4 linked regions of the Arabidopsis thaliana genome follow. The protein of the gene in region 1 interacts with the protein of each later gene in a pairwise test. Each region holds a gene or a part of one and is shown in the gene's direction. Other genes may lie near its edges. The genes, in order: MBD5, GTL1, MYB65 and CIA2.

Evidence for each region.
Region 2: the proteins of MBD5 (region 1) and GTL1 interact in a two-hybrid assay, tested with the Arabidopsis thaliana proteins (one large-scale study listed by BioGRID).
Region 3: the proteins of MBD5 (region 1) and MYB65 interact in a two-hybrid assay, tested with the Arabidopsis thaliana proteins (one large-scale study listed by BioGRID).
Region 4: the proteins of MBD5 (region 1) and CIA2 interact in a two-hybrid assay, tested with the Arabidopsis thaliana proteins (one large-scale study listed by BioGRID).

Annotation. Positions count from the first base shown.
Region 1 is NC_003074.8:17,146,323-17,150,428, forward strand, and holds MBD5 (methyl-CPG-binding domain protein 5), read left to right. Parts: upstream 1-1,909; 5' UTR 1,910-2,074; coding exon 2,075-2,245; intron 2,246-2,547; coding exon 2,548-2,673; intron 2,674-2,754; coding exon 2,755-3,006; 3' UTR 3,007-3,275; downstream 3,276-4,106. Other genes in the region: AT3G46570 (Glycosyl hydrolase superfamily protein), read right to left, coding at 1-545. UniProt on the Arabidopsis thaliana protein: Transcriptional regulator that binds CpG islands in promoters where the DNA is methylated at position 5 of cytosine within CpG dinucleotides. In addition, binds specifically methylated m(5)CpNpN but not m(5)CpNpG (N is A, T or C).
Region 2 is NC_003070.9:12,050,745-12,056,800, reverse strand, and holds GTL1 (GT-2-like 1), read left to right. Parts: upstream 1-2,047; 5' UTR 2,048-2,480; coding exon 2,481-2,770; intron 2,771-2,865; exon of another isoform or gene 2,866-2,967; coding exon of another isoform or gene 2,968-3,140; coding exon 3,141-4,602; coding exon of another isoform or gene 4,603-4,635; exon of another isoform or gene 4,636-4,684; coding exon 4,685-4,942; 3' UTR 4,943-5,424; downstream 5,425-6,056. UniProt on the Arabidopsis thaliana protein: Transcription repressor that binds specific DNA sequence such as GT3 box 5'-GGTAAA-3' in the SDD1 promoter. Negative regulator of water use efficiency (WUE) via the promotion of stomatal density and distribution by the transcription repression of SDD1.
Region 3 is NC_003074.8:3,600,087-3,605,828, forward strand, and holds MYB65 (myb domain protein 65), read left to right. Parts: upstream 1-1,949; 5' UTR 1,950-2,119; intron 2,120-2,262; exon of another isoform or gene 2,263-2,443; intron 2,444-2,797; exon of another isoform or gene 2,798-2,904; 5' UTR 2,905-2,969; coding exon 2,970-3,341; intron 3,342-3,460; coding exon 3,461-4,469; coding exon of another isoform or gene 4,470-4,495; exon of another isoform or gene 4,496-4,562; coding exon 4,563-4,843; 3' UTR 4,844-5,086; downstream 5,087-5,742. Other genes in the region: AT3G11450 (DnaJ and Myb-like DNA-binding domain-containing protein), read right to left, coding at 5,373-5,742. UniProt on the Arabidopsis thaliana protein: Transcriptional activator of alpha-amylase expression that binds to 5'-CAACTGTC-3' motif in target gene promoter. In vegetative tissues, inhibits growth by reducing cell proliferation. Promotes the expression of aleurone-related genes (e.g.
Region 4 is NC_003076.8:23,165,762-23,171,819, forward strand, and holds CIA2 (chloroplast import apparatus 2), read left to right. Parts: upstream 1-2,012; 5' UTR 2,013-2,631; coding exon 2,632-3,735; coding exon of another isoform or gene 3,736-3,762; exon of another isoform or gene 3,763-4,362; coding exon 4,363-4,515; coding exon of another isoform or gene 4,516-4,533; exon of another isoform or gene 4,534-4,951; coding exon 4,952-5,002; 3' UTR 5,003-5,264; downstream 5,265-6,058. Other genes in the region: PSD2 (phosphatidylserine decarboxylase 2), read right to left, coding at 5,770-5,892, 6,007-6,057. UniProt on the Arabidopsis thaliana protein: Responsible for specific up-regulation of the translocon genes TOC33 and TOC75 in leaves. Involved in the general chloroplast protein import pathway regulation, including protein import and protein translation efficiencies.

The DNA of each region.
Region 1 (4,106 bases):
TTGTCGTACCCTTTACGGAACTTTCCGGAGCTAGGTGGCTCGGAGGAGCCTGAGAGGATACCGAGCGAGTGAGGCGTCGAGACTAAGATCCTACTGACGTTAGCAAGGTGTAATGCTAACGTAAGCGTCTCCATAGCGGGAAGGAGATGAGTGATGAGGGTTTTGTCGGATGTGGCGACGACTTCGTTTCCGACAGCAATGTAACGGATTGAAGTTGTTAGGAGGAAGGGGAGGAGGTTGTCGGAGAGCCATGAACGTGCGTTGGAAAGCTTGGAAAGAGAAATGATATCGGAGTTTGGGACGGTGACGGTGAGGGAGATTCCTGTAATGCCGGAAAATGCGGCGAGGATGTCGTGGTTTGTGTCGAAGATTTTGACGTGGTTGATTATTGTTTTTGTTTTGATGAAGTTGACGACTTGGTGAGGCGGTGGGAGGTTGTTGGCCACGGTGCCGTAGTTTACGCCGACTTGATATGCAGCGGAGAAGGGAAGGATGAGAGTGAGAATTAGGAAGTAAAGTTGATGAACAACTCTAGATCCCAACATGATCGTGAATGAGTTTATTTTATGACTTCCACGTTTAGCAAAACTTACTAGGAGTTGTTTTTTGGGAGCATGATCGTGTTCGGTTTGATTGTGGAGACGTGAGCGAGTGGCTCCCAAAAAATCACTCACTCCTAGTAAGTTTTGCTAAACGTGGAAGTTTTGCTAAACGTGGAAGTTTTGCTACATAATGTAATAATCATAAATTAATAACATTTGATAATTGAAACCATTAATAAGGATGTAAATAGTTGCAAATTAATTGTATTTGGGGGTGATTGGGAAGGGACTCTCAGACCATCCTCATCGGACAAATTTAAAAGGTGTCTTCAAATTTTAACAGAATAAAAAAAATAGGAAGATGAGAATTAATGCGCTGAATAGGAGTGACATGATGACTTTAATGTCTGTGGAAAAACATTTTTTGATACGGGAAAACACGAATGTGTCACCATGCTATTGGTTGGTGTTATTGTTTTTTATTTTTTCTCTTCATTTGACCAACAATTTTCTCTCTGTTCATTTTATCAATAAATTTCTCTCTCTTCATTTGGCAGTTAAGACATCCAATATACTGATCACCGATGTGGATGCTCTCATAGCTTTAAAGGTGTTTTAAAGTCCTCACAGTTTTTATTTTAACAGTCATGCTTTCTTGACTTTATTTTTTTTTAAAGTTCTCAAAGCCTTGTTTTTATTTGTTCTTTGTTTCCTTTTTTTTTTTAAAGTCACGATTACATGGCTTTCAAACAAATAAATATTAAAACTTTTCTTTTTCTTCTCCCATGATAATTAAAAACTTTCTACAATTTTATATATATTTTTTCACAAATCATTTTTGATTAATTAATTATTATTAATTTTATATTTTCTTTTAAGATCCAATTTACTAATAAATAATTTATTTATTACATGTGCAGTTTATTTGTTGAGAATATTTATTTAAGAATATTTTTTGTATTTTAATTTTATATTATTAATAAAATATATTTGTGTCACTATGTTGAAACATAATTCAATTTTAACATAATTTTATTTACAAAAATATATTTAATAATAGTAAAAATAGTACTCAAGCTTTTACAACTTTATATTACCAATCAGAATTTAACATCTAAAATCTCAACAGTTAAGTCTCTACATCCAAATTTTCTATGGTAAAAGTTTTTAAAGCCAAAACATTTACCGTCATCCTTACCGATCGGCCCATAGTTGTTCAAATAATTTATATCAGTTACACACATTTCGATTTTGATTTCGGTTACAAATATTTTATCCACTCTAATTCACAACAAGAAATTAATTTACCTTAATGGGCCCAAAAGCCCAAAAACTGCAACGTGGCTAATTAAGCCATTCCTCGAGCTCAAACTTTAAAACAGAAACAAAACTTCTAACTTACAAATTGTACTTCTGTCTTTTACTCTGTCTGATTCAGTCAAAAAGAAAGGAATATTAAAATCTCTCAATTTTATATACACTCACTCAATCATACCTTTCTCTGGAGACCTCCACAGGGTTTGTTTCCGGAAATGTCGAACGGCACGGATCAGGCTCAACCACCACCGGAGAACCCGGCTACTCCGGTGGATTCGAAGTCACGGAAACGTGCGACGCCAGGGGATGATAATTGGCTTCCTCCTGATTGGAGAACCGAAATTAGGGTTCGAACCTCTGGCACTAAAGCTGGTACTGTTGATAAGGTGAAAAAATCTCAGCCCTTTCAATTCCTTCGCAGATAGAATCGTCCGTACAAATGGAAATGTTATGTTGTTTGTTGATTTGAATTGGAACTTTTTCTTAGTATTTATGAAATTGGGTATTGAAGTTAGGTTATGATGATCTTATTGGTTTATATTTTAAGGTATTTGGAGACTTTATAACTAGTCTTTAAGTGTAACGTTGCTGTATGTATGCTTGTTGGATGAAGATTGCTCTGTTTAGGATGTTGTAGGTGTGAATATGATAATGCAGTGCTTGATGATGTCTTGTATTTGTAATGTAGTTCTACTACGAACCGATTACGGGTCGTAAGTTCCGGTCCAAGAACGAGGTTTTGTACTATTTGGAACACGGGACGCCTAAAAAGAAGTCCGTCAAGACAGCGGAAAACGGAGACTCACATTCCGAAGTGAGTTTGTTAGTAGACATTACCTTAAGGTTTAAACCCGTGTTTTACCTGAACTGTTGTTGTTTTTGCACATTTTTGTAGCATTCTGAAGGTAGAGGAAGCGCTAGGCGGCAGACAAAATCCAACAAAAAGGTTACTGAGCCACCGCCAAAGCCGTTGAACTTCGATTTTCTGAATGTGCCGGAGAAGGTTACTTGGACTGGGATAAACGGTTCAGAAGAAGCTTGGTTGCCTTTCATTGGGGACTACAAGATTCAAGAATCTGTCAGCCAAGATTGGGACAGAGTATTCACTCTTGTCACCTCCCAAAACGCTGGAAAAACGATGTTCTAGAAGATTGCTGCAGAAACTCACAAATTGTAATAACACGCGCTGCTAGATTATCATATCTACTTAGTATTTACTGATCGTTGGTTGGAATGCAGGTTAATTTTTTAGTAGTGATAGTTTTAGTAACACTTTGATTTGAGTTGTAATGTACTTTCTTAACATTTTCTTAGATAATTTGAAGGCAATGTATGTCTATATTATTGCCTTTGAGAGAATCCGATAGTAACAAAGTTATGAAATCTAAAGTTCGATGTGCGGTACTTCTCTGCTCAGTTCTCTCTGCTTTAAATTGTGAATCATCAGTTATGCATAGGCTCTATCTATCTATGCTTCTCTGCCTTTGTCCTAAATGATATACGGAAGCATACTGACATAATTTGGAATAAGTTCAAGTTATAACAGAACAGTGTGAAAATATGAACCAAAGCGTCTGTAGTCCAACGGTTAGGATAATTGCCTTCCAAGCAATAGACCCGGGTTCGACTCCCGGCAGACGCATTTTTAAATTTTGACATTTTACGCTCGTTGTTTATGAACAGTAAATATTTTCTTTAGATCTTTGTTTAAGAATTTTTTTTCTTTCTAAAATGGCTAAGAACATTGTCGTCAAAGACTATAATTCTTTTCTGTCTTATGCAGTGGATAAAAAAGGGGTTCTTATCGCACTTTTCAGTTATCGTTTGTTTCCTATCAGAAAACAAAATGGGAAAAATTCTCCACCTCAAAATTCGAGGAATTCTAACGGCGTGGAGATGAATAATTACCAAAAGTAACATATACACCCCCGTCGAAAATAACGAGTTTTCAAAAAAGATATTTTCGGTTGATTTGTCGATAATCATCTGCACTACGCTGCGGTATATTTTCAGATTTTTTTATCGTTTAATTTAAATATAATTTTAATTATCTAATCATTCACTCATGTAATAAATAATTATTTTTATTATTAAAATATTTTTTTCAAACAACATTTTCAACAATGCATCATATACACATTTCCTAAACAATGTTCGTCTTAAACCAATTAAATAGAGGGTAATGCTGGGATTCTCGAAACCTAATTAAGAATTTGATGATTAAACTTCTTACATACTCTTTACCCT
Region 2 (6,056 bases), on another chromosome or scaffold:
TGTGAGGTATTTATTTATTTGGCTGCCACTGAAATTGTAGATATATTTGTGAGAGGAGGAATATGGATTTTACGTGGGTGTGAAAATTCATGGAATTACAAAAAAAAATATCGCTGGACCATTTTAACTATAAATTTGTTTTGTGACCCCGTCAAAATGATGTTGACTCGTTATCTTTGGTAAGTCCTCGTATGACACAAGTTGGGAAAGTAATGAGTTTGACAACTTGTTGTGTCCTAATAAGATTAGATTTATTGGTAGAGAGAGACGTTGCTTTTGTGTGTTTAAGATTAGTGTGTTAATCAAAGTCTTAATCAAAACTCCCTCATGAGATCTAGATCTCTTATGTAAAAAGAGAGATTCATTCAGTCAGAAATCAAGGAAGGAAACTCCGTGAGCATGTTCTTACCACCTCGTATAATTATATTCTTATTATACTTGTACTAATATTAAAGTTGTATAATTAGGAAAAAAAAGAACATATCACATGTAATAAGTAATAAATATAGTGAAAAAGGAGAGGCATGTGAAAGTGGGGGGAAGAAGAAGAGAAGACAGCTGTGTATCCGCCGCTCTCTCTCTTTCTTTCCCCTTCAAGAAAGTTCTCCACTTCCACCGCCCACCTTCTTCTTCTTCTTCACCTTCTTCTCTAACCATTATTATTAATTAGCATCTTTCATTTTGTTGTTAGAAGGAAATAGTTTGTTTTCCTTTTTTGTGTATAACTAGAAATGAGCGGTGTGTTTTTGTGTAGAGTGTGATTTGGTAATGAAAATGAGTTTTTTTTTTATTTTGTGTATGTTTGTGTAGGTGAGAGGTATTAAAGAGTTGTATAATGTGATAGTATGAGTGTCTGCATCGATGTCTTGAGTTTGCAACTAATTTTAGATATGAGGCTATTCAATTTTTGATTGATCACTTATGTCTATCTTCACCACAGCTTTACTATCTCAAAAAATGTACTTATTTTCATTATTTTTCACCTAATTGTTATAAGGTTTCTTTATTAGTTTGTTATCTTGTACTTTTGTCGAAAATTCTGGTTACCACCAATACATAAAATCATCATCTTGACTTTTGTTTTGATTCACATATATATGTGCAAAGGAAATTAACAGTTTCATTTTTAATTAAAAACCAAACGAGTTACTAAAAAAAAAAGCGATGTCAAGCTATCAACATTTAACTAAACGAATGTCTTATTTTTTGGAGAAAAAAATAAATTCAAAGAACATATCAAAGATCACTTGACGTCACGTTTGTTTATTTATGGGATTTTGCAGACCATGCATGTTCTTGATTCCAAATTATGCCAACATACAAGAATCACTTGTAAAATTGTAGCGTCCAAATGAGTCTAGCAACTTTGTTATCGTGACCAAGCCATCATATCAATTCATGTATGCTAAATTCGCTGCAAATTCAGTAAAAAGTATGTTTAAAATGACATAAACGAAATCTGTTATAGTGTTGGTAGTGAGTGGGTTTGGCTTTGGCTTCGCATAAACTAATGCATGGGTCAGGTTATCGATCCGACCTGCCAAGATAGTTCCGAGTTTAAAATTACATGGTTATGTTAATTAATTATGCACTATGTATGATTCATAAAATAATTTCACTGGCTTTGGACTTACTATTTTTTTCTTTTCTTGACATCACTAAAACACTATTGTTTGATATGTTTCTATAAATGTATTATTTACACAATAACAAAAAAAAAGAGAGAAAGAAACTGTTGAATTGGAGAGGAAAGAGAGTGGGGGGAAAGATGTCAAGGCTGGTCCAGCTCAAATCGGGTAAAAACTATTATCAAATTCCAATTCTGTCCCTCCCTTTCCCCAAAAATCTGATTGTCACATACCCTACCAATCAGACAACGCCACGTGGACACCTTAGACATGATGGTGGGAGAGGACAACAACATGGGAGGCACATGATTTTGTGTTTATTATATTTCTCCAAAACACAATTTTTACCCAAAAACAATTTAATCGGATCACTGAGCAATGAGATGTTTGCGGATCCAAATTTAACTTTTAAAGCCTTCCTTACTCTTTGCTTTATAACAATAATAATAATACACATAAAATTGGATTTAATTAAATAGATGTGGACCTTTTTTTCTAAATAATATAAAAGAAGGAAGAAAATAAAATAAATAAAGAAAAAGAGAGAGTGAAGAAAAGTGGGTTTAACAATAATTTGCTGCAAAGTTAGAAGAGGCTTCAGCTTTATTAACTTCTTGTTTGCTTTCATTCTCTTTCTCTCTATCTATCATCATCATCCTCGTAATCCTCTCCTTTCTCCTTCAGACCCCTCCTAGTTGCTGTTTAAACAAACAAAAAAAGACTGCTTCTCTTTCTTATTTCTCTCATCATCATCATCAATGGTTTTATGAGATTTATATCAAAAAACATTGAGGAGCTAGAGAGAAAGAGAGAGTGTGTGTGTAGAAAAAGATTGAAACATCATCAAGATTGATGGAGCAAGGAGGAGGTGGTGGTGGTAATGAAGTTGTGGAGGAAGCTTCACCTATTAGTTCAAGACCTCCTGCTAACAACTTAGAAGAGCTTATGAGATTCTCAGCCGCCGCGGATGACGGTGGATTAGGAGGTGGAGGTGGAGGAGGAGGAGGAGGAAGTGCTTCTTCTTCATCGGGAAATCGATGGCCGAGAGAAGAAACTTTAGCTCTTCTTCGGATCCGATCCGATATGGATTCTACTTTTCGTGATGCTACTCTCAAAGCTCCTCTTTGGGAACATGTTTCCAGGTCTCTCTTCCTCTCTTCTCTTCCATTTTCATCAATGGTGTTTCTTGATAGAGATCCATTTGCATGTGTTTTTTTTTTGTTAACTTTTTTTTTTTAGTGTTAGGTATATATAAATAGTAATATATTCGAGATCAAAGCATCTTCACCATCCCCAAGAAAAATTAAAAGAACTGTTTGTTTATTACAGAAGTTGGTTCATGAGTTTCTGGGACGTTTTCGATTTTGAAAATCCCAAGACTCTCTTTACTTCCAAAAAAAAAAAAAAAAAATCCGATCGAACAGTAACCATAAAAATTTTCCAGCTAATAACGACAACCAAAAATAAAATAAAACTAGAGAATCTGAATTATTTTCATGTTTTTGGAAACAGGAAGCTATTGGAGTTAGGTTACAAACGAAGTTCAAAGAAATGCAAAGAGAAATTCGAAAACGTTCAGAAATATTACAAACGTACTAAAGAAACTCGCGGTGGTCGTCATGATGGTAAAGCTTACAAGTTCTTCTCTCAGCTTGAAGCTCTCAACACTACTCCTCCTTCATCTTCCCTCGACGTTACTCCTCTCTCCGTCGCTAATCCCATTCTCATGCCTTCTTCTTCTTCTTCTCCATTTCCCGTATTCTCTCAACCGCAACCGCAAACGCAAACGCAACCGCCTCAAACGCATAATGTCTCTTTTACTCCTACTCCACCACCTCTTCCACTTCCTTCAATGGGTCCGATATTTACCGGTGTTACTTTCTCGTCTCATAGCTCATCGACGGCTTCAGGAATGGGGTCTGATGATGATGACGACGATATGGACGTTGATCAGGCTAACATTGCGGGTTCTAGTAGCCGAAAACGCAAACGTGGAAACCGCGGTGGAGGCGGTAAAATGATGGAATTGTTTGAAGGTTTGGTGAGACAAGTAATGCAAAAGCAAGCGGCTATGCAAAGGAGTTTCTTGGAAGCTCTTGAGAAGAGAGAGCAAGAACGTCTTGATCGTGAAGAAGCTTGGAAACGTCAAGAAATGGCTCGGTTAGCTCGAGAACACGAGGTCATGTCTCAAGAACGAGCCGCCTCTGCTTCTCGTGACGCCGCAATCATTTCATTGATTCAGAAAATTACTGGCCATACCATTCAGTTACCTCCTTCTTTGTCATCTCAACCGCCTCCACCGTATCAACCGCCACCCGCGGTCACTAAACGTGTGGCGGAACCACCATTATCAACAGCTCAATCTCAATCACAACAACCAATAATGGCGATTCCACAACAACAAATTCTTCCTCCTCCTCCTCCTTCTCATCCTCACGCTCATCAACCAGAACAGAAACAACAACAACAACCACAACAAGAGATGGTCATGAGCTCGGAACAATCATCATTACCATCATCATCAAGATGGCCAAAGGCAGAGATTCTAGCGCTTATAAACCTGAGAAGTGGAATGGAACCAAGGTACCAAGATAATGTACCTAAAGGACTTCTATGGGAAGAGATCTCAACTTCAATGAAGAGAATGGGATACAACAGAAACGCTAAGAGATGTAAAGAGAAATGGGAAAACATAAACAAATACTACAAGAAAGTTAAAGAAAGCAACAAGAAACGTCCTCAAGATGCTAAGACTTGTCCTTACTTTCACCGCCTCGATCTTCTTTACCGCAACAAAGTACTCGGTAGTGGCGGTGGTTCTAGCACTTCTGGTCTACCTCAAGACCAAAAACAGAGTCCGGTCACTGCGATGAAACCGCCACAAGAAGGACTTGTTAATGTTCAACAAACTCATGGGTCAGCTTCAACTGAGGAAGAAGAGCCTATAGAGGAAAGTCCACAAGGAACAGAAAAGGTACAAACTTTGCTTTTCCTTGTCAAAATGTGATTGGTTTAATGTTCTTTGATAACTGAAATATGATTTGTTGGAATTGAAGCCAGAAGACCTTGTGATGAGAGAGCTGATTCAACAACAACAGCAACTACAACAACAAGAATCAATGATAGGTGAGTATGAAAAGATTGAAGAGTCTCACAATTATAATAACATGGAGGAAGAGGAAGATCAGGAAATGGATGAGGAAGAACTAGACGAGGATGAGAAGTCCGCGGCTTTCGAGATTGCGTTTCAAAGCCCTGCAAACAGAGGAGGCAATGGCCATACGGAACCACCTTTCTTGACAATGGTTCAGTAAAATCAGAATCATTGTTTCAAGAAAATGTACTTATGTGTGCATAGTTTTCTAAACAAAACACCCAAAAACACAAAACACAAACACACACACACACACATCTGACACCACAAACTGAAATATCAAGGTCTCATCGATCTTCGATTTTTCAGTGAATACAATTCTTTTTCACATTCTTTCCCTTTTGTTCTTTTCTTTCTCACTGTCTCTTGTTTGTTTCTTCTTGTTCATTGTTTTCTTCTTCCAACCCCCACATGAACAAAAAACTCTAGCTAAAAGGTCTTTTAGATTATTTTGGAGTTGTAATTTCATCAGCAAGTCTCACACTTTTTTTTTTTCTCTTAAAACATTTGTTGATTGGTTAATTGGGGAATAAAGAGTCTTTATTTTATTTTTTCTTCCTTTAAGGTAAGAATTAGAATCATTTAGTTTATCAGACAAAGATAAACATATATGACTGATTATTACTACTATTTGAATTGATATATGACAAAGATTGGTTTATTCACTTTGCTTTTTTGACTGAGACTCAAAGCCATAAGTAATTGAGAGGAGAAGAAGAAGAGAGAATCTGTGTGTTTTTATGTTTAATCCTTTTTGCGGCGCCCACAAAAACAATCCGATAAGCCATTATTCATTTTTGGTGTCACTATCAATTAAACAGGGTCGCTCAAAGTTTTGTTCTTTTGTTTCAAACTTTATTTTTCTTACAATCAAAAGCATGTGCAGGCTTTTGTACTTACAACGACAAGACTCGTGCCACTCTCATGTTAACTCATTTTTCATCTCTCTGTTTTTTTTCTATAACTTTTTTCTTTACCTTCAAAAAAACTGTATCAAAAAGTAAAAAACTACTCGTGTAAATTTACAAAATAAAAATAATGGTTTGAGAATATAGAAAGATGGATTGAGACAGCATGATCACACCAAAAAAAAATAAAGAAGAAGAAGAAAAAGAAAAGATTCTGTATCTTTTTGATAGAGAGAGTAATAATGGAGGAAATGGGTACAGGTAAGAAAGAGTAAGTACCACTTTGATTGCCAACTTGCTTTCACCTCTTTGTGTCTTAACACAGCTGCCCCAACGTGCAATCATTTTATACATATAAAATGTATG
Region 3 (5,742 bases), about 14 Mb from region 1:
GCCTATTTGGTGTTTTCTCCAATGATGTGCATAAAATATATATAATTAACAAATTAAAAATACGTTAACTGAGATCTCAGATACTCAGGTCATTAGTACAAAGTACAAACGTCTAATAGAGGCCAATTTTGTCATCCATATTCAATTCAAACCATATCATTTGCCATAACCGTACCCATATATAGATATTTGTTAGTCTACAAAAGACTGTATAAATCGTTTTATCTTGTGTTCAAGCCATCAACTATGATATCAAATTACCAGATCACTCATGCTAAAGAATCCATCGAAATGTATTAAGTTTGTCGAAGTTCGTTACTCTATATGGTGGATTTTAAATATTTGATTTGGTTAGATAATTTTTAGTTATACCGTCAAATAAATTTCCAACTATTTAGTCAGCGAATTTAAAGATCAAACACTAATCATCAGTAATGGTTTGCTGAAAATCGTCAGAATTTCTTTTACTAGTGAGCAAGTTTTAAGATGAAATAAAAGGTGTGAAACGAAATAGAGAAAAGGTAGAGAGGGAAGAGACAAGCGTGAGACACGGAGAAGTGGAACTGATCTCTTTACGTTCCTCGTACGTTTACCAAGTTACACTGCTTTCCATATTTCTATATTATTATTCCCTCCATCCCTTTCTTCACATACTTTATGTAACTTCTTTTTAAAAACCAATTATTTGTATTCTAATTGATTGAATCAAATAGTTTCTATAAGACTATAAATAAACATAATTCGAATTCAAATTCGGCAGCGTTGAAAGATATATGTTGAACAATACATTACCACACTTATTAGTAGAATATATTTATTTCTAGAGTCTCAAAACATAAGCCAAAAAGCCGAAAGCACCTTTTTATCTTTGTGGGTTTGGTGCAATGGATCATATATATGGTACATTAGCATTTTTATCATCTTTCTCTTTTATCATTTTTCTTGTATTGTCGGGCTTGCGTCAGGCCTGTACTTATCTTCATACAACATTATTTATGTACATAACCAGAATTCAGGCCACAAACAATACGTGAGCTATTCAGGATCACGAGGTCCACGCGCTCGCTCACCTTCCTCTTTCCTCAAAGGCTTTAGCTAATTGTTAACTAGATGGAAAACAGTGCTATGGTTGAATTTTAACATATTGGTTACTACTATCTCAATAATATTTTGTAATACAAATGTCGGTAGATGAATTGATATACCACCTTCATGGATGATGAAGATCCACTTTTAAAGCCCAATTTTTTGTTTTTCTTCGATGCCGAAATCAATATGGGCACATGTGGATCCTACTATAGCAGTTCCTCAATTTGAGTTAAAAATCTTTGGGTTTTAGGCTTTTAGCCCAAGGAAAAAAAAAAAAAAAAGAACCAATTTTTATTTTTTATAATTTAATAAGAACCAAATTATTCATCATTATATACTTCTGACAACAAATATTTACTATGTATATTATATAGTGAAGAAGCTGTGACATGAAACAGATTCAAGCCAATCGTCTGATTAGCTAGAGAATCACTGTCATAATCTATTAGTTGACAAAGAATGAATGACACTAGTACAGTAGTTAATATGAGTGCGGATTCTCGTAATCTCAACGTATCTACGTCAATAAGCTCATTTATACATCATTAAATTAAAGTACAACATTCCAATTTATGTTTGGTGGGTTCCTTTTTATCAAGACGTATACGATTATACCAAACCTTTATCCATAATTATTTTTAAATGATACATTTCGTAAATATTAATATTACGATTATTATTTTTAAACCTAAAATCTTTGAATTTTATAAAATTTTAAAATTGATAAAAAAGATACGGGATTTTTTTTGAGTTAATTGATTTTCTAATAAAGATATTGGATTCTTAGTGTTTTTTTTATTCTATAATTTATTTATAACGCGGAAATAAAAAGCAAAATAATTAATTAAGTGAGGAGAGTTTTAATATTTTGATGTTTATTTCTAAATTCATCTCTTTTTTCCACTTCTGTTCAGCTCTGATGAATCTTCTTCCTCTGTTACTTTGATCTCTTTCTCCATCCTTGTCTCTGTCGATTCTCTGAGATATCTTCTCTCGAGCTTTTTCCCGCGTTATCTCTCTCCCACTCCTGGTAATATTTTCTTCTTCTTCTTCTTCTAGATTGTTCTTCCGTTACTAGCTCTTGAATCCATTTCCACGGATCTCTGATCTTCAATCTCTGTTTTCATTCTCTCTAATCAGTTGTTGAGCTTGATATTTTTAGCTAACGTTTTTCCGATTCAAATTTACGATTTGTGTGTTTTCCGATAACCAAATCGGATATCTTCAGCTCAAACTCGAGCTCCGATTTCGTCTCATGTTGTAGATCTCGACGACTTCGTATTTGTCTATGGTTTGCTGATTGTATTCAGATTGCTAGATACTCAATATAGAGCTTACTTTTACCTCAGCTAGGGTTCGTCTTTGTTGTACCTTTAGTTGCTGCTTTTTGATTCTTGTATATATGGATTTTGATTGTTCAATCGTAATTTCTGGTTCATTGAAAATCGATTTATTAGTATTCGAAATTGGAACTAAGATTTAGAGATTGCGAATTTGATACAGAAGTCATTTCAAAGTATCAGAGCTATAAAATGGTGCTTAGCTAGTTTCTGGTTTCCATTTCTGGATTTTCATTCAAATACGAAATCTATTCGTCAAAATGGTGTCACTAGTGTTCTGTAGAAATTTCATTACAGACTTTTAGTTGTTGCCTAGTATCAACTCATATCTCAGCGGTAGATATGATGAATCTACTAGACATATTTTTCAATTATCGCCTCCTTTTACAAGTTTATCATGTCATTATTTTGTTGATAACTACATGAATGCTGGCTGAAATATTAATTTGTCTCTTTTTCCTCTTAATTGGTTCAGGTTGGAGCTTGATGTCTAAATTGTTATTGAACTGCTGGAGTCTGTCTTGCTTTAAGTAGAAAGAGATGAGTTACACGACGGCGACTGCTGATAGTGATGATGGTATGCACTCCAGCATCCATAATGAATCACCAGCTCCTGATAGTATTAGCAATGGCTGCAGAAGTAGAGGGAAAAGAAGTGTCCTGAAGAAAGGACCATGGACTTCAACTGAAGACGGGATTTTAATTGATTATGTAAAGAAGCACGGCGAGGGTAACTGGAATGCTGTGCAGAAACACACTAGCCTGGCCCGTTGTGGTAAAAGCTGTCGTCTGAGATGGGCTAATCATCTGAGGCCAAACTTGAAGAAAGGAGCATTTAGCCAAGAAGAAGAACAGCTCATTGTTGAAATGCACGCCAAGATGGGAAATAAATGGGCACAGATGGCTGAACATGTAAGTAGTTTTGTAACTGCGGAAGCTACCTGATCATGGTCCATTTTCATATTTTGATATTCTTTGTGAGCCTAAAGACTAATTAATCTCTGGTATGATGTTTTCTTCTTGTTTACCAGTTACCTGGTCGAACAGATAATGAGATAAAGAATTATTGGAACACTCGTATCAAGAGGAGACAACGAGCAGGCTTACCACTTTACCCTCCTGAAATCTATGTTGATGACCTTCATTGGAGCGAAGAGTATACAAAGAGTAATATCATAAGAGTAGATAGAAGAAGAAGACATCAAGATTTCTTGCAGTTGGGGAATTCTAAAGATAATGTCTTATTTGACGATCTAAATTTTGCTGCTAGCTTGTTACCTGCCGCTTCTGACCTATCAGATTTGGTTGCATGCAACATGCTAGGAACTGGCGCAAGTTCTTCCCGGTATGAGAGCTACATGCCACCAATATTGCCTTCCCCAAAGCAAATCTGGGAATCTGGATCTCGGTTTCCCATGTGCAGCAGTAACATAAAGCATGAATTCCAATCGCCGGAACACTTTCAGAATACGGCTGTACAGAAGAATCCCAGATCTTGCAGTATCTCGCCTTGTGATGTTGATCATCATCCTTATGAAAACCAACATTCGTCTCATATGATGATGGTTCCTGATAGCCATACAGTTACGTATGGCATGCATCCTACTTCTAAGCCCTTGTTTGGGGCAGTGAAGCTGGAGCTCCCTTCATTCCAATATTCAGAAACTAGTGCATTTGATCAGTGGAAGACGACTCCGTCACCTCCACACTCAGATCTCCTTGACTCTGTTGATGCCTATATTCAATCTCCACCACCATCGCAGGTAGAGGAGTCAGATTGTTTCTCTTCATGCGACACCGGCCTACTAGATATGTTACTTCATGAGGCCAAGATCAAAACTAGTGCGAAGCACAGTTTGTTGATGTCATCACCCCAGAAGAGTTTCAGTTCAACTACTTGCACGACCAATGTTACTCAGAATGTACCACGTGGCAGCGAAAACCTGATCAAATCAGGAGAATATGAAGATTCCCAAAAGTATTTGGGTCGCTCCGAGATTACAAGTCCCTCGCAACTTAGTGCAGGTGGTTTTTCATCAGGTGAGTTGATCAAAGTTACTTGTTGATTGGTATCTTATCTACTCTTGTTCCATATTGATTCTTATGCAGCTGTGTTGGTTTTCGTATATGAAGCTTTTGCAGGGAATGTTGTAAAGACAGAAGAGTTGGATCAGGTTTGGGAACCAAAGAGAGTTGATATAACACGGCCTGATGTTTTACTTGCGTCGAGCTGGCTTGACCAAGGCTGTTATGGCATTGTTAGTGACACAAGCAGCATGAGTGATGCGCTTGCACTTCTTGGTGGTGACGACATTGGGAACAGTTACGTGACTGTTGGGTCATCATCAGGTCAAGCACCACGAGGCGTCGGGTCTTATGGATGGACCAATATGCCTCCTGTTTGGTCGCTGTAACAAAATGAACCATATCACACAATTTGAATCTTTCTGTATTTTCATGCACCTGGCTTACATGACTTGGTGGTTTGTTATAGTTGAGAGAAGATTTGTGGACTTGGTAAAAATTTGGATTTTCTTCACCTGATTTTTCTTATACTTGGAAGGCATTTATATATACTCATTTCTTGTTCCTGCTACTTCCATCATACTAGCTCGATTGGTTTTGTTTAGATTGTAAAGAAGCAAATCAAAATTAGGGCTTATTGTAGCCCAACCTCTAATTGGGACCGGAGACACAGCAGCATGAGCGATGCGCTTTATTTCACAACTTGAAACTAGACGCTAATCAAACGTTACATAAGATTATGTAAAAAACAACATACTCCATAATAGTGGCTCCAGCACTCTCAATATATAGAGACATCAAAGGGAAATGAATCATTACAAATAATAAAAAAGTTTTAGGTCTTGCTTCTCGCAAAGTAACGGTGCCCCAAGAGGATTAAAACCCAAAATTCTCATGGGACTCCGAAATGATTTTACCTCATACTCCGGTTTTCTTGTTTCTAATGATTTCCTTAAGCTCTGCAAACTTCTTCTTGCATTGGTTCATCGTTTTACCAGGGACAGCTGCAGCTACTCTCTCCCATCTTTGGCTTGTCTCTTTCGGGAATGTCTTTAAAGCTTGAACCAAAGCTCTTTCTTGCACAGTCGACCAACTATCTGCGTCTGAACTTCCACCTACTTCACCATTGTTGTCTGAGCTTTGACTGCTCGAGCTTTTCCCCACAACAGTCTCTTTAGAGGGCTTTGCATTTGTTGTGGTCGTCATTGTGGGTAGAGATTCTCCGAGCTCCTCTCTTGTGGAGAGAGGGGATGTGATTGAAGCAGAGGGTTTCCTCTTCTCGAGGAAA
Region 4 (6,058 bases), on another chromosome or scaffold:
GTTTCTTTTGCAGAAACGTTTGAAAGTTTAACATAAAACTAACCTTGAAAAAGTAAGTCAATGAAAGAAATAAATTTTCAATTATCATGTCTATATATATATCCAAAAAATTATCTAAAATATAGATAAGAAAGTATCAATTTATGCTAATATTTTTTTCCCAAATATGCTAAATTAGTAAATTTGAAAAAAAAAAAAAATCTTACTAATAAAGGGAAATTAGTAAAATAATAAAGTCGGTTTTTTAAGAACACGTGAAAACGTCTCCGACCAGGCGACCATAATCAGTTAATTGAGAAAGCACCACGTCATCAAAGAAATCTAGTAGAGCCAATGGGTATGTGCCACGTCAATGGATAAGGTGACCTTTCCTCGTTTTCTCTTTAAGATCCCAAAAAGATTTTGCAGATTTGGATGATGATGATGTGGTTTTTACATCTTTTTAGAAAATAATCCAAAAACAGAATCACATTTCCCTCCAGTCAAAAAGGATCATTAATGACTATTACTCACTAAACAACCTGGATTAAACTCTTGAGCATCTTTTCTTGGTTAAACTTTATTCAAGAAGAACAGAAATCGGATATCACAACCAAATCAATAAATTAAAACTGAGAAATCTTATTAAAACTATTACTATTATCAAAAATATATATCAAATTTTAAATAAAATCTTCTACAAAACCTGTAAAAAAATATAACTTCGAATTCTATTTAAAATCTAGATATCATAAACTAAAATATAAACCAATATATGGCTTCACTTCTAGCTACAATTAATCAGGGTCGGCTCAAAATAATAAAGGACCCAGAGCTGAAAAAAAAATTAGTTCTCATTTCCTATGTTTTGTTATGTAAATCTTTTTTTTGGATCGTAATTGTATTAGATTTACTTCAAAAAAAAGAGAAATTTTGGGTTGACTCTGTGCCTCGCTCCTCCGGCACATGTGTAGAGCCGGACCTGCAATTAATAGAAACAAAAATTAAACTAATATATGGTGACTCTAAATTGAAACTAAAACTAATAGTGGATAAATTTGTTTAACTCTATACTAGTTTAAAGAGCTGAAATTAAATATTGTGAATGGTAGAACTCGATTTTTGGTATCAACTAAGAAGAAAAATCCTCAACCTCAACTAATATAATACTGCCACAGGCTGGATTAGACAATTGATCGGCGCTACATCATTACTTACCACTTAATCGATGATGTGATTAATATTTTTCAATCATGAGTAATTTCGATAAATCACACTCAAAATATTTATCCCCCTTTCAAATTAATGACTGATCGCTGTTATATTACTTACTCACCACAAGATCGATATGCAAAATAATATCTTAAATTTTTGGGTAAAAATTATTGTGTAACAAGTGGATAATATCAATAAATCAATACATAAAAGATTTACTCAATTTGAATTAATGACTTACTGTCGTTATATTAATGTAATACATAAAAATTTAACTTTAAGAATGAACGATCGTCGCTACATTACATTATTACCAAATCGTCACAAAATTAATATTTTATATTTTGAGTAAATGTTAATGAACAAATAAATTTGTTAAATCAACACATAACAAATTTAATTCAATCGTATTATGACCGATCGTTGCCACAATCATATCGCTTTATTATAGGTTTAACAATTGATTTTTCATTATTTTGTTTTCAATCTCCAAATCATTTCTCAATAACTCTCAAACATTGTTTAAAGCTTTTTTTCTTAATTAACATTATAACAAAAAAATAAATAGAGAAATTTACTTTGATTCAAACACCAGTCATTGTAGATTAGCCAAGAGTTTTCAGTAACAAAATTTACCTTATAAACCTTTTGAATGGCTATTTCTGAAATGGAATAGAAATCTTTAGTCGTGGAAGTATCTCTATCCATAAGAAAACTCGTTTTACAAAGTAATTTTAAATCAATACAAAAAGTGAAAAAATCCACTGGTGGACCCCATTCATTCCAGAATTGCCGATTACGAGCTATCTTGTCCCTTCTTCACCATTCGCTCACTCTCTCTCTCTCTCTCTCGTCTTCTTCTTCCCACCACTCTCTCTGTTTCTCCACAACTTCTCTTCTCAAAGTTAAAATTACCCCTAAACCAAAAAAAAAAAAAACGCTCTTCACTATTTATTTACTAAACTCTCCTTTGTTTGTTACTAAGCTCTCACTAAAACCCTAATCTTTCTCCTCTTATATATCTCGTGACTCTTCTTTCTCCTCCAATCTCTCTCTCCCTCTTCACAAACCAATTAGCTTCTTTCTGTAAAACCTCACTCGTTGGCCAATTCTTTTGGTTTTCATACACATAAATCTCAGATTCCAAATGGGTTTTCTTAGCTCTTTCTTTCAAATGATGAACATTTGTTAGCAGAATCTTCCTCTTTCCCTAAAGTTTTGATCTTTTTTTCCCCCTTCAATTTTGTATTTTCTCACCAAATAAAAAAAGGTTTCTTCAGTGGGTTTTAAGGGTTTATTATTATCTTAAAATTAAACACAATTCTTTAATCAAAAGGCAAAAATCTTAATTTCATCACTCTCTTCTCACTCACAAAAGTTCTTACAATCTTCAAAGTTTTGGTCTTGTTTCTTTTCCGATTTCACCGGACAAAAAAAATGTCGGCGTGTTTAAGCAGCGGAGGAGGAGGAGCAGCAGCATATAGTTTCGAGTTAGAAAAAGTGAAATCACCACCACCATCATCCTCAACAACAACAACAAGAGCTACTTCACCATCATCAACAATCTCCGAATCATCAAATTCACCACTCGCAATCTCAACGAGAAAGCCAAGAACACAACGCAAAAGACCAAACCAGACTTACAACGAAGCAGCTACTCTTCTCTCTACTGCTTATCCCAACATCTTCTCCTCAAACTTGTCCTCTAAGCAAAAAACTCACTCTTCATCAAACTCTCACTTCTACGGGCCATTGCTTAGTGACAACGACGACGCTTCTGATTTGCTTCTTCCTTATGAATCAATCGAAGAACCTGATTTTCTGTTTCATCCAACGATTCAAACGAAAACAGAGTTTTTCTCAGACCAGAAGGAAGTTAACTCCGGTGGAGATTGCTACGGTGGTGAAATCGAAAAGTTTGATTTCTCCGACGAATTCGATGCTGAATCGATTCTCGATGAGGATATTGAAGAAGGAATCGATAGTATAATGGGGACTGTGGTGGAATCGAATTCAAATTCGGGGATTTATGAATCTAGGGTTCCGGGAATGATCAATCGCGGTGGAAGAAGTTCTTCTAATCGGATTGGTAAACTAGAACAGATGATGATGATCAATTCATGGAATCGAAGCTCTAACGGATTCAATTTCCCGTTAGGGCTTGGATTACGAAGTGCTCTCAGAGAAAACGACGACACAAAATTGTGGAAGATTCATACCGTTGATTTCGAACAGATCTCGCCGCGAATTCAAACTGTCAAAACCGAAACTGCAATCTCCACCGTTGATGAGGAGAAATCCGACGGTAAGAAGGTGGTAATCTCTGGAGAGAAGAGTAATAAGAAGAAGAAGAAGAAGAAAATGACGGTGACGACGACATTGATTACGGAATCGAAAAGCTTGGAAGATACGGAGGAGACGAGTTTGAAGAGAACAGGTCCGTTGTTGAAGCTTGATTACGACGGCGTTTTGGAAGCTTGGTCTGATAAAACGTCGCCGTTTCCCGACGAGATTCAGGGATCGGAAGCTGTCGATGTCAATGTATGTTTAACACTAATCTCTTCTTAATCTCAAATCCCTCGCCGTTAAAATTCGATATTTTCTATGTTTATTTTTCTTTAGTTAATGGTTAGTTTGAAATAATTAATTATTCGGGATTCTGTTTTGGCCATTAGTATTCTGCCACGTGGCTGTTGAGGAGTGTGTTCTCATTAATGCTGAATTAGTAATTTATTAGCTATGATATAGTTTGAAGTATCTGACAAGAATTTATTAAATTTTGTGGAAAGTTCTTATTAATAATTTTTCCTGTAACGTATTTTGAAGAATAATTATTAACCCTTTGACTTTGGTACATAGTCTTCTTTTTATTATAAATAACATTTTTTTCTGTGATGACTTTCAATCAATTAAGAAAAAAAAAAGCTGCTTTTTATTTGTCCAATGAAAACTTTATAGACTGTGCACGTGAATTTTCACGTATAGGATAAATGAGGAGGTTCAAAATTTATTTTGTAGATATCCGTTTCGTCGAATACTCCTTTTAGCATAAAGTCTAGTAGTCTACAAAATAAGTTAACTAGAAATTCATTTTTGTCAATTGATTAGTATTTTGTGTTATTAATAATGTTGAACATGAACTAATGTGGCGTGTGTGTTTTGGGGCAGGCTAGATTAGCTCAGATTGATTTGTTCGGAGACAGTGGAATGCGAGAAGCAAGTGTTTTGAGGTACAAAGAGAAACGTCGAACTCGTCTTTTTTCGAAGAAAATTCGATACCAAGTTCGCAAACTCAATGCTGATCAACGTCCTCGAATGAAGGTATCTAACCCATCTTAGTCAGTGGTTAAAAACATGTAGGTTTTTTTTACCATCCTTCAAAATTTGTTTTGAATCAGCATAATAAGACTAGCTTTAGTTTTCAGATTTAAAGTAGATGAGAAAACTCTTGTTGAGTTTTTCTATTCGTTTTTTTTCTTCAAGAAGATGAAATAAGCTTTCTTTTGGGTATCTTTATTCCAAATGAACCAAACCGAACAAGTAAAGGAAACTACGTACCACAAGCCAAACAAAAAGATTTAAAACCAAACCAAAGGTTAAATATATTAAGAATTGTCATCTAAAGGAAACAAAACTAACTAATAACGTTAGATTGAGGTCAAGGGCTAGGGATATATACATTAGATTTGATTAAGACAAGAACCTAATATTAATGTTTTCTTTTCTTTTTGTGGTTGGTGATGGGATGTGGGAACAGGGACGATTCGTGAGAAGGCCCAATGAGAGCACTCCAAGTGGACAAAGATAACAAGGATAAAAGAGCCTAGATTTATCTTATCTTTTTTTTTTTATCTTTTGTTTATTCCTTGTTTTATTTTTGTTTCTAAAATTTTGGCACCCTCCTTTTTTGTTTCTTTTAAGTTATGGTCCCTTTTGGTTTATAATTTAGATTTTTTGATGAGGGGGAGATTTGATTGAGAAAGTGAGGGATCAAAACTAATAAAAGTTTTTGTTATTAATAGAAGAAACAGAGCTCTTGAGATTTTAATGACTCAAGAAGCAAGTCAGAGACTTGGCTCAACAACAACAGTAGCAAAAAACAAGACATGGATTATTCACCAATCCCAATGGCTCAAACTATGTTGCAGCCTTGTACACCTGTTGTTTCGTTGCCCATTGCTTCTTTGAGTCATCAAAACCGGTGACAAATCATTGATACCTCTCAATATCTGTTTTTGCCGAGCCAAATTTCCTTTCCCAATAAAAACATTATAGAGAAAAAGCATATTGAATTAAGGGCAAAAATAGCTTCTAGGACGTGTTATATGATTTTTGAATGGTAGCTTCTTCTAGATACCATTTTATCTTTGACCAAGAATCGAGTGTTATTTTACAAGGCTTGACGGAATGGCAAAAACAGAACTCTCTGCACAAGGAATGTGTTGAGCTCATTACTTGTATACATGATACAAGAGATATCGTTTGGTTTATATACAGAGTTATTATGCACGAAACAAGAGGAAAATCAAATCAAACCAAATTGGTCTCTGGTAATCAGTTCAGTGGCAAAGATTTTCAGATCAATGTAGACCTAGCAAATGTCCTTGTGGAGACACCTAATTGCATTCCAACACTCACTAATGTCTCTAAAGACCTACCACTGTTAACCAAGAGATCATTATCGATCCCGATCGCGTCCTGCATAATTCAAATGGAAGGTTCATATTGAAAGAAAACAACAGTGAAGATATCATTTTAAAAGCATAAAACTGTTCTTAAGATTTTAAGATTAAGATATAATAAGTCACTAACCTTTTCAAAGACACATATAACTGTGCTTCCACCAAACGAAAAATAACCAAGC